Linked DNA regions of Caenorhabditis elegans. The protein of the gene in region 1 interacts with the protein of each later gene in a pairwise test. Each region holds a gene or a part of one and is shown in the gene's direction. Other genes may lie near its edges. The genes, in order: snb-1 and nefr-1.

Region 1 (3,499 bases):
CCTCAGACTTCCACCCGATATCTCACCACGAAAGTACCGTATTTGAAAGGAGAACTACTGTACTTAGGTTCTCGGCATGGTACGGGTTTCGAAATTTAGCGATACGCAAACATGAAACACTATAACGTTTTTGAATTTTGTTCAAATTAGTTTTTGAAAATTTTTCGGAATTACTCTCGATTGTAAGATACCAAATCAACTATATGTAGAATCCGTTAGGTTCTACGCGCAATTATCCCAATTAGGGCTGTACAAATCAGCGTCCGGCCGTCTGATTTTGACACCACCGGACGCACTGCGTCCGGTTTTGGGGTAGGTTTCCACGGCGGCCGACAATTTCCGAGTTTCGCCACTCACTATACTTAATCAGCAATTTTATAGTGAGTCGCGAAACTCGGAAATTGTCGGCCGTCGTGGATAGCTACCCCCAACCGGACGCATGTGCGTCCGGTTCGGACGACCGGACGTCCGGTTGTACAGCCCTAATCCCAATAAACCTGTATTCCTGTGTTTGAGTTTAGTATAATCGCTTCGTTTACTTATTTTTTTCAAAACTATTCTCGGTAAATACTACCTCCCTAATTGTGTTTTTGTCTGTACACAATACAACAGACATTCAATTTCCTATCTAGCCATCCCCCAATCTTCCCTGTTCTGTTTTCTGTCTGTGTCTTTTTTGTTGTCAGCTGATATGATGGACTGAGTCAGCACTTTTTTAATATTGTTTTTTTTTCTGAATTTCGTAACTTTATCTTGGTTTTTCCGACATTGTTGCCCATAGTTATTCTTGCATTCTCCAACAACACAGAATGATGAATCGCTGCCACATTTTTTTGACAAATTTATTGTTCAGTTCGGGTATCTCAGCAACCATGACGTGTGTTCAAGTATTTCATTTTTTCTCCCTTTCTAGGAAAATTCAAGTTGAATTTTTATTCATTTTGAAACTTCCTCTCATCTCTCGAAGATATGCCTCGGGCTTCAAATTCGTAGTCCACCCGTTGCACGTAACCTGCTGAAAACTTCCTTGTATTCAGTTCTCTCGTTTCGTTTTGTCTGCAAAAGAATTTAGCTCCATTTGTGTGAAATCGAGCAAAATCATGCGGCTAGAGAAAATAAGAAAAAAAAACGAAAGAGAACTGGAGCGTGTGCATGGGACATTCTCCTTTCTTCGCCTTATTCTTCGTCTCCCATTATTAGTTTCGCCTCCCACAATTCTGGCTGCAAAGCAATAAAAAGTGGCTTCGTTATTTGTCTGGAATGCGTCCCACTGTATGTGTTGTCTTCTATTTAATACAAGTTATAACCTCCACTCGCTTTTTTTTTTATTTTTTGACTGCCTCTTGGTAAAAACGTAATCATACAACAGCAGTGAAAACCAGTTTTTTGAAAACCGTCCCGTCATTTTTTTTCTATTTATCATTTCAATTTATTTATTAATCGATGATTGAAAGTGAATGGATGACGGTCATGACCGATTATCGATTATCCCGAAATAGAGATGCGCGTAGGTCATAATGCCCAGTACGCAAAATGTTTTATCGGTGTTTGCACAGATTTCGCAACATCTCTCATTGAATTTCCATTCATCGCTTCGTCATCTGACCCCATTTCTTATTTTTTCATCCTTTTCCCTGTTCTCATCGTTCCTTACTATTTTCCTAATTTCAGAACATCGCGATTTTATAATTTCGTTAAATATTCGTAATCCCGTTATACAAAAATAGCTAAATTTTCTAGTCGTTCTCGTTTTTGAGAGGGCACTTTAGTCCGTCATCGTGTCGCTTGTCGTGCTCAATTTTTCATGCATAAATGGGCGTCGCCGTCCCCCCTGTCGTTTTCTTCCTTTACCTCACTTTCCAGTTCTGAATTCCGATACGAATTTTTAAATTTTTCTAACTCGCTTCATTTCAGGGAACAGCCGGATAAGACCATCTTGACGACATGGACGCTCAAGGAGATGCCGGCGCACAGGGAGGAAGTCAGGGCGGACCACGACCATCCAACAAACGTCTCCAGCAGACACAAGCTCAGGTTGATGAAGTCGTCGGAATCATGAAGGTAAGATTTTGAAATGTGCAATTAAAATAACAAAAATCGCAATTTTTGAAATGATCCCATTTACAATTTATAAGCGTGTTAAATTAATCTTAATTCCCCTTTTTGCAATAAAATCACGAAAAATAGTTTTCAGGTGAACGTGGAAAAAGTTTTGGAGCGTGATCAGAAGTTGTCTCAACTGGACGACCGAGCTGACGCTCTCCAGGAAGGTGCTTCACAATTTGAGAAATCTGCGGCCACCCTGAAGCGCAAGTATTGGTGGAAGAACATCAAAATGATGATCATCATGTGCGCTATCGTCGTCATTCTTATTATCATCATCGTTTTATGGGCTGGAGGAAAATAAGTACACGACCTTTGTCCCGGATAAAAAAATCCCCCGAAACGCTGTAATTTCTTTCCCCCAAACTTCTTCCCTTCACATTTTGCCCATTTTCATCTGTTTTCATTTTCTAAAACATAGAAGCTGAGTATTCTATTCTTATTTTGAACTTCTTCTCTTCATTGTACTATAGTTGAATTATACGTTTCCCCCCACATCCCCATCCAATCTGTCAATTTTCTTAATATTCTTTTTCTGGTTGATCGCAAATCATCCATTTCTGAAATTAATTTATTTAGGCGGCGCGATAAGCTGCGTGATCCCACATCCACATGAGCTTATCCGCGGATTCCGTCGAGCTCGTGTGTGTATGTTTTTCTAGAATTTTCCTATTCTCAGACTAACAACATGCCTTCTCATTCCCCCCGGAAATTTACCCATTAGATGCGAATAAAATGGTGTTGAAAACTCAAAACTGTCAAAATTTTTGAATGGATTGAATGATTGTTGTGTAGATATTCAGATTTAGATACTTGAAAAAAAAACAATTGTTGTTTAAATTTAGTGGGCCTGGTCTTTTCAGAATGACGATATTTCAACCTCCATTTATCGATCGATCACAACAGTTCAAAGAACTTGCCACATCAATCGAGCAAAAGCACATTAGACGGCACAATAAGCCACCGGGTGAGGAAGAATTTGGATAGAATATTTAATAAAAAACGTTAAATATCGGATACTTCAAGTTTTTTGACACATCAACAAATCAGAAAAAAAATTCTGCAAAAATACCATTTAAGATTTTTTATGGAATATCCTTTAACAAACTTTTCAGATAAACTCGTTTTTGCCATAAAACTTTGAAGCGAAATTATTTTGATGATTTAATTCTAATTTTTATAGTTCTAAAAACATTCCAAAAATGAATAATTTCAAATTTCAGGAGACTACCGTCGTGATGAAAATCGTCCATCTCCAGCATTCACCAACATTTCGAACGTGGCTCTTTCGTTTGGCGCTGAAATGTATCTCTTCCGTAAAATGCTCGCAGATCACTCACAGGACTACATTTTCGCCAGTCGTGCCTATTCTAAAATGAGCCCGATGGAACGAGAG
Region 2 (4,953 bases), on another chromosome or scaffold:
GTGGCTCCCGTCTCCTTCGGAGTGCTACACCGAACAATTATCGGATTAGACGACAGCAAATTAACACACGATACTCTCATTAATTTCGCGTTCTTCTCACTTCCGGCTTCTTCGATGATACTCGAATAGTAGGCTAATGTGTTGGTTGTCTGAAGAACTCGAAAGAATGAAGCCGATTTTAATGCGACACGAAGATTCAGAATCATTGCCGACATCGAATCACGAGTTTGGGCGGTGGTGACGTTGACGAGAGCACACTCCCGACGCATCTCAAAGTGCCAAGCGATTGTACTGCCAATGTGCACTGAAAATGTAGAAATTGTGTTTGAAATTATATATTTTTTTTTTCAACAATTTATACCATAATAATTGCTATCTTCTTGATGCCCGTCTAGAAATGGCCAAATTGATGCATTAACCGAGTTGTCGAATTGAGAGCTGGCGAGGCCAGGAATTCGATTACGCACAAGTGAATCACTTTTTAATGCTGCTTCTTGAATATGGGACACACGATCCGGGAACTGAAATAATTATAAAATATATTTTAGAACACAAAACCATCGCTTCATACCTCACACTCCCTGAGTGCGGATCCAACGGGAACATTGCTCAACGTTGAGCACAACCAAGAGACATAAGAAGCCAACTCGTATCTCGAAAATGAGCGAGTAGGATCCGATTTGACTTTATCGCGAAGCTTCATCAGCTTTTCGAGCATTTCCACGCGATACTCTGACTTTTTCAGGTAGTTCATCGCGAATTCGGTAGCCGAGAACATGTCTTTCGAGCTTTTATCCATTTTCCACGTCTTCAGCTTCTTCTCAATTAGCTCGGTCTCGCCGAGAAACATCAACCATCGAAGAGCAGCTTCCTTGGCCAGAGTGTCGTCTGATAGGTCGATGTAGTCGAGCAGGCACACGACTGCTCTGCACAGTTCTCCGTTGTAAAAGTAGAAAAAGCAGAGTTTCGCGGGAATACTCGCGAAAATCTCTCGATCTTTGCTCCGACACTCCATCGCCTCCTTTCGTAGAGTTTGCCACGTGATGAACATTTTGCATGCGGTTCGTTGATACTTCGCAAGTCCTTGAAAGTATTCGGACGAGGCGTAGTATGAGGTGATTCGAGCCAATTTGCTCAGCGAGTTCATGTCAATCGGTCCATTGACGCCGAATTCGGCGATAAAAAGCTCGGAAATCTCCTGTTGCAACTCGGCAGTTTGTTCGGCAAACCCGATCACCGTGCAGCTCACATTTTTGCGTAGCTCATCTAGTTTTTCGATGTGCTGCTTGTCAACTGACTTGTTTGTGATCTTCATGAAAGTTTATCTAGAAAAATTAAAATTAAACTGTTTTAATGGAATTAACATTATTACATACATAAAAAGCAAGTTTTTTGATTGATTTTCATTAAAAATCGAGGAAAAATTGAAAATGAAAGGGTTTCAACGCACGTTATCTTCTAAAAAATTTAAAAAATTTTCTTCTAGATGATACGCTTCACATACGCGACGCGTAACATTGGAGCAACGTTGTCACTTTTTCTTAAAAATCTCTTATAAGAGTTGGCACGGTGCCAGATCCGGAATTCCACCAGATCTTGAATTAAAATAAGTTTTTTTGCAAGTTTTAGCAAGTTGAAGCAAGTTTTTTTATTGATTTTCACCGGAAATCGAGGAAAATTGAAAATGAAACGATTTTCGAGGCAAAAATAAAAAATTTCCCTCCGATTTTGAAGTCCGTGAATGCGCGTGCGGTGCAACTGCGTACAAAACACCAAACTTTACGACAGTGCGGTAAATTCTACTTTTCAAAGTTTGAGCCCCAAAATTCGTTTAATTTTTGTTTAAAACTTTTCTTGTTTATTGAATTATTTACATTTTTTCAGTCGACATGCCGCGTATCAAGCAAGCGCCGACAAAGAGACACTCGTTTAAGCGAATGGAATCGAGAGAAGCCGACGAGGTTCTTAATAACGATCCAAAAAATGAATTTAGAAAAAAAAACCAACAACTTTTTTCCAGAGTTTTCTCGACGAGGAAGAAATCGAACGAATAAAGGAGGAACTTCAACGAGTGCAAAACGAGAAAAAGAAGCACATTCAGAGAATGCAAGCTCGACTCGAACAAAGTAGGCATTTTCCTGAATTTTTTCCCCTCACAAAAAACATTTATTGTCATTAAAGTAGTGAGAATTCTTCGGGAGAATGATTTCAAGTCGCATCAGAAGGGAATTTTGACTTCGGTGAAGTTTCGAGGAGCAATTGCCGGATATACGACGAATTGAAGCTCGTCTCCTGTAAAATAGAGATTTTTGATTGAACAGACTCAAAATGTGCTCAAATTAACAAATTTCGTTCATTTTAGCCCATTTCGAGGTTATAAACATGAAATTCTCACTTGGCAACGCCTTCTTCGAGTTGTATTCCATTTGATCGCATTCAATGGCAGTTTCCATGTCGATTGAATCTCCCGTAACAGCTGAAAAGCAAGTATAAATGTCAATTTCTGTCGGGAAAAAAATCCACTCACAATTTCCCGCTTTCGCCGGAGTCCCATACTGCGAGTTTTCGTTAACCTCCGAACGACTGCTAGCCATATCTTTTGCACTGATCAACTTGTTGCCCTTATCCACATTCAACGTATCCTGCTGCTGTTCACCGGAACTGTTATCCTTCACCTTCTTCTGCTCATCAACCTCTCCAGCAACTTCCGACTCGGCTTTCGCTGACTTTGCTGGAATCGCAGTTTTCATCGAATCGGCAGACAACTCATTCTCCTTATTTTCCTTTTCCTTTTTCTCCTTCTCTTCCTTCTCTTTTTCCTCTTTCTCAGCTTTTGCCATTCTTTCCATCTCGTCGTCTTCCCATTCATATGGATCCAGAAAGTTGATCTTCAGTCTGGTGATAGCCGCCATCAGCTGAAAAATTTCTTAATTGTTAATCGGATTCTATTTCGAGAAAAACGCTACCAGATTATAAATCTTCTCATAGTTCGGGCGATCTGCGTAGCTCAGAGTTCTCAGGTACTCGAAGATTGATTTGAGCTCGTCGGGGAGATCCTGTAAATGTGCAAAATGTTCAAAATGCCGAAAAATGCATTTTCTTGTGAGTACCATTTTTGATGGTTCATTCCGGGTTTCACGTCTCATTTTGCTTTGATCTACGAAAAATGCGGGAGAAGAGACGCAGACATCTCAACTGATTTCGCAGGGTTGCTGACGTCACATTTTTCTGGGAACAATTCCCGCATTTTTTGTAGATCAAAGAGACTTTCTGACACCATGTGGCGTTTCGGAAATTCGAATTTCCCCTGTTTTCAAAAATCCACACCTCAAACAGTGCAAGGTCCTTTGTCGACTTCTTCATTGACATAATTTCCTTTTCATCCTTCAAATTCGACCAGGGAAGCCCGAGAGTCAGATACACGATGCTGTAGATCATTGCCACGAGATCATCACATCGTCCTTGCTCCTTCCGCTCGTGGACATTCATCGAACAATATCGAATCGTTCCTCTCAACGGAATGCGTCTTCTCATCGGGCGAAGCTTCTTCTTGCCATCGTCACCAGCCATCACAAATGTCCGAGCCATCCCGAAATCGATGAGTAACATGACTCGAGCATCTCTTCCCTTGTTGGCCGCGGTCATTATGTTCCCCGGCTTGACGTCTCGATGCACATATCCAGCTTCATGTAGTTGCTTCAAGCCGTACAACGTGAACACTGCGACACGCATGGCCGTGGCGTCGTTGAAGCCTCGCTGAATCTTCATGCGAAGTGCCATCAAATCCTTTCCGCAGAGGGTGGTCACCATGTATCTAGAAAATTCGAGTTTTCGCACAATTCTACGCTTCCTCACTGCAACTTTTTCCCCACGAGGGACGAGGAAATGCGGTTTCTAGGCCATCACGTGGTGCCAGACTGTCTCAATACAGTTTGATCTATGAAAAATGCGGGAATTTTTCCCAGAAAAAAGTGTGACGTCAGAACGCTCTAAACCATGCGGAATCAGATGAGATCTCTGCGTCTCACCTCCCGCATTTTTTGGAGATCAAAGCAAAATAGGACTTTCTGACTACACGTGGGCCGAGGATCCGACAAGATTTAGTGGCAAGCTATCTTACTTTGTTTTCCGCGTGACTTTTTTTGTTTTTCACAGATTTTTCCCGTTTTTTCTTTCATATTGAAACTGATAAATAAATATTTTTGCAAGTGCGAAAGCAATTTAAAAGTGAATACACAATTTTTCACTTGGAAATTGTTTTAGCATCTGCAAAAAAATTTATTTATCAGTTTCAATATGAAAAAACGGGGAAAAATCTGTGAAAAACAAAAAAAGTCACGCGGAAAACAAAGTAAGATAGCTTGCCACTAAATCTTGTCGGATCCTCGGCCCACGTGTAGTCAGAAAGTCCTATTTTGCTTTGATCTCCAAAAAATGCGGGAGGTGAGACTCAGAGATCTCATCTGATTCCGCATGGTTTAGAGCGTTCTGACATCACAATTTTTCTGGGAAACAATTCCCGCATTTTTTGAAGATCAAACTGTATTAAGACAGTCTGGCACCACGTGATGATGGCCTAGAAACCGCATTCCTCGTCCCTCGTTCAAAGAAAAGTGCTGTGCTCCTGCTAACCTGTAAAGCTTCCTCTTCCCATAGTCGATAAGCTTCAGGACATCTCGTGAATCCGTCAACTTGCTCAGCACATTCACCTCGAGTTGCAGTGTTCGATCGAATTCTTCCGAGTCGTACTCGACCTTCATCGCTGCACAATACCCTTTACGGTTCTTGTCCTCCACCTTGTACACGACACCGCACGCACCTTTGCCCAAAAGTGCTTTAATTCTCCATTTGTCGATTATCTGAATAGAAATGGAATGATTTTTGCAATTGAATTGGATAATATAACTTACATGTCCTGGACGCATAACTTTAGATGCCGACGACGATGTAGAC

The links.
Region 2: the proteins of snb-1 (region 1) and nefr-1 interact in a protein complementation assay, tested with the Caenorhabditis elegans proteins (one study listed by BioGRID).

What each region holds. Positions count from the first base shown.
Region 1 is NC_003283.11:6,654,917-6,658,415, reverse strand, and holds snb-1 (Synaptobrevin-1), read left to right. Parts: upstream 1-1,914; 5' UTR 1,915-1,944; coding exon 1,945-2,061; intron 2,062-2,194; coding exon 2,195-2,407; 3' UTR 2,408-2,854; downstream 2,855-3,499. Other genes in the region: syx-18 (t-SNARE coiled-coil homology domain-containing protein), read left to right, coding at 2,968-3,070, 3,327-3,499. UniProt on the Caenorhabditis elegans protein: Involved in the targeting and/or fusion of transport vesicles to their target membrane. Acts in neuronal exocytosis of synaptic transmission. Likely to have a role in cholinergic transmisson.
Region 2 is NC_003279.8:3,437,219-3,442,171, forward strand, and holds the start of nefr-1 (Protein kinase domain-containing protein), read left to right. Parts: upstream 1-1,880; 5' UTR 1,881-1,889; coding exon 1,890-1,961; intron 1,962-2,020; coding exon 2,021-2,126; intron 2,127-2,145; exon of another isoform or gene 2,146-2,218; coding exon of another isoform or gene 2,219-2,292; intron 2,293-2,395; coding exon of another isoform or gene 2,396-2,476; intron 2,477-2,527; coding exon of another isoform or gene 2,528-2,915; intron 2,916-2,966; coding exon of another isoform or gene 2,967-3,056; intron 3,057-3,327; coding exon of another isoform or gene 3,328-3,814; intron 3,815-4,632; coding exon of another isoform or gene 4,633-4,859; intron 4,860-4,910; coding exon of another isoform or gene 4,911-4,953. Other genes in the region: Separin homolog sep-1, read right to left, coding at 1-304, 362-521, 572-1,315; Y47G6A.13 (non-specific serine/threonine protein kinase), read right to left, coding at 2,219-2,292, 2,396-2,476, 2,528-2,915, 2,967-3,056, 3,328-3,814, 4,633-4,859, 4,911-4,953.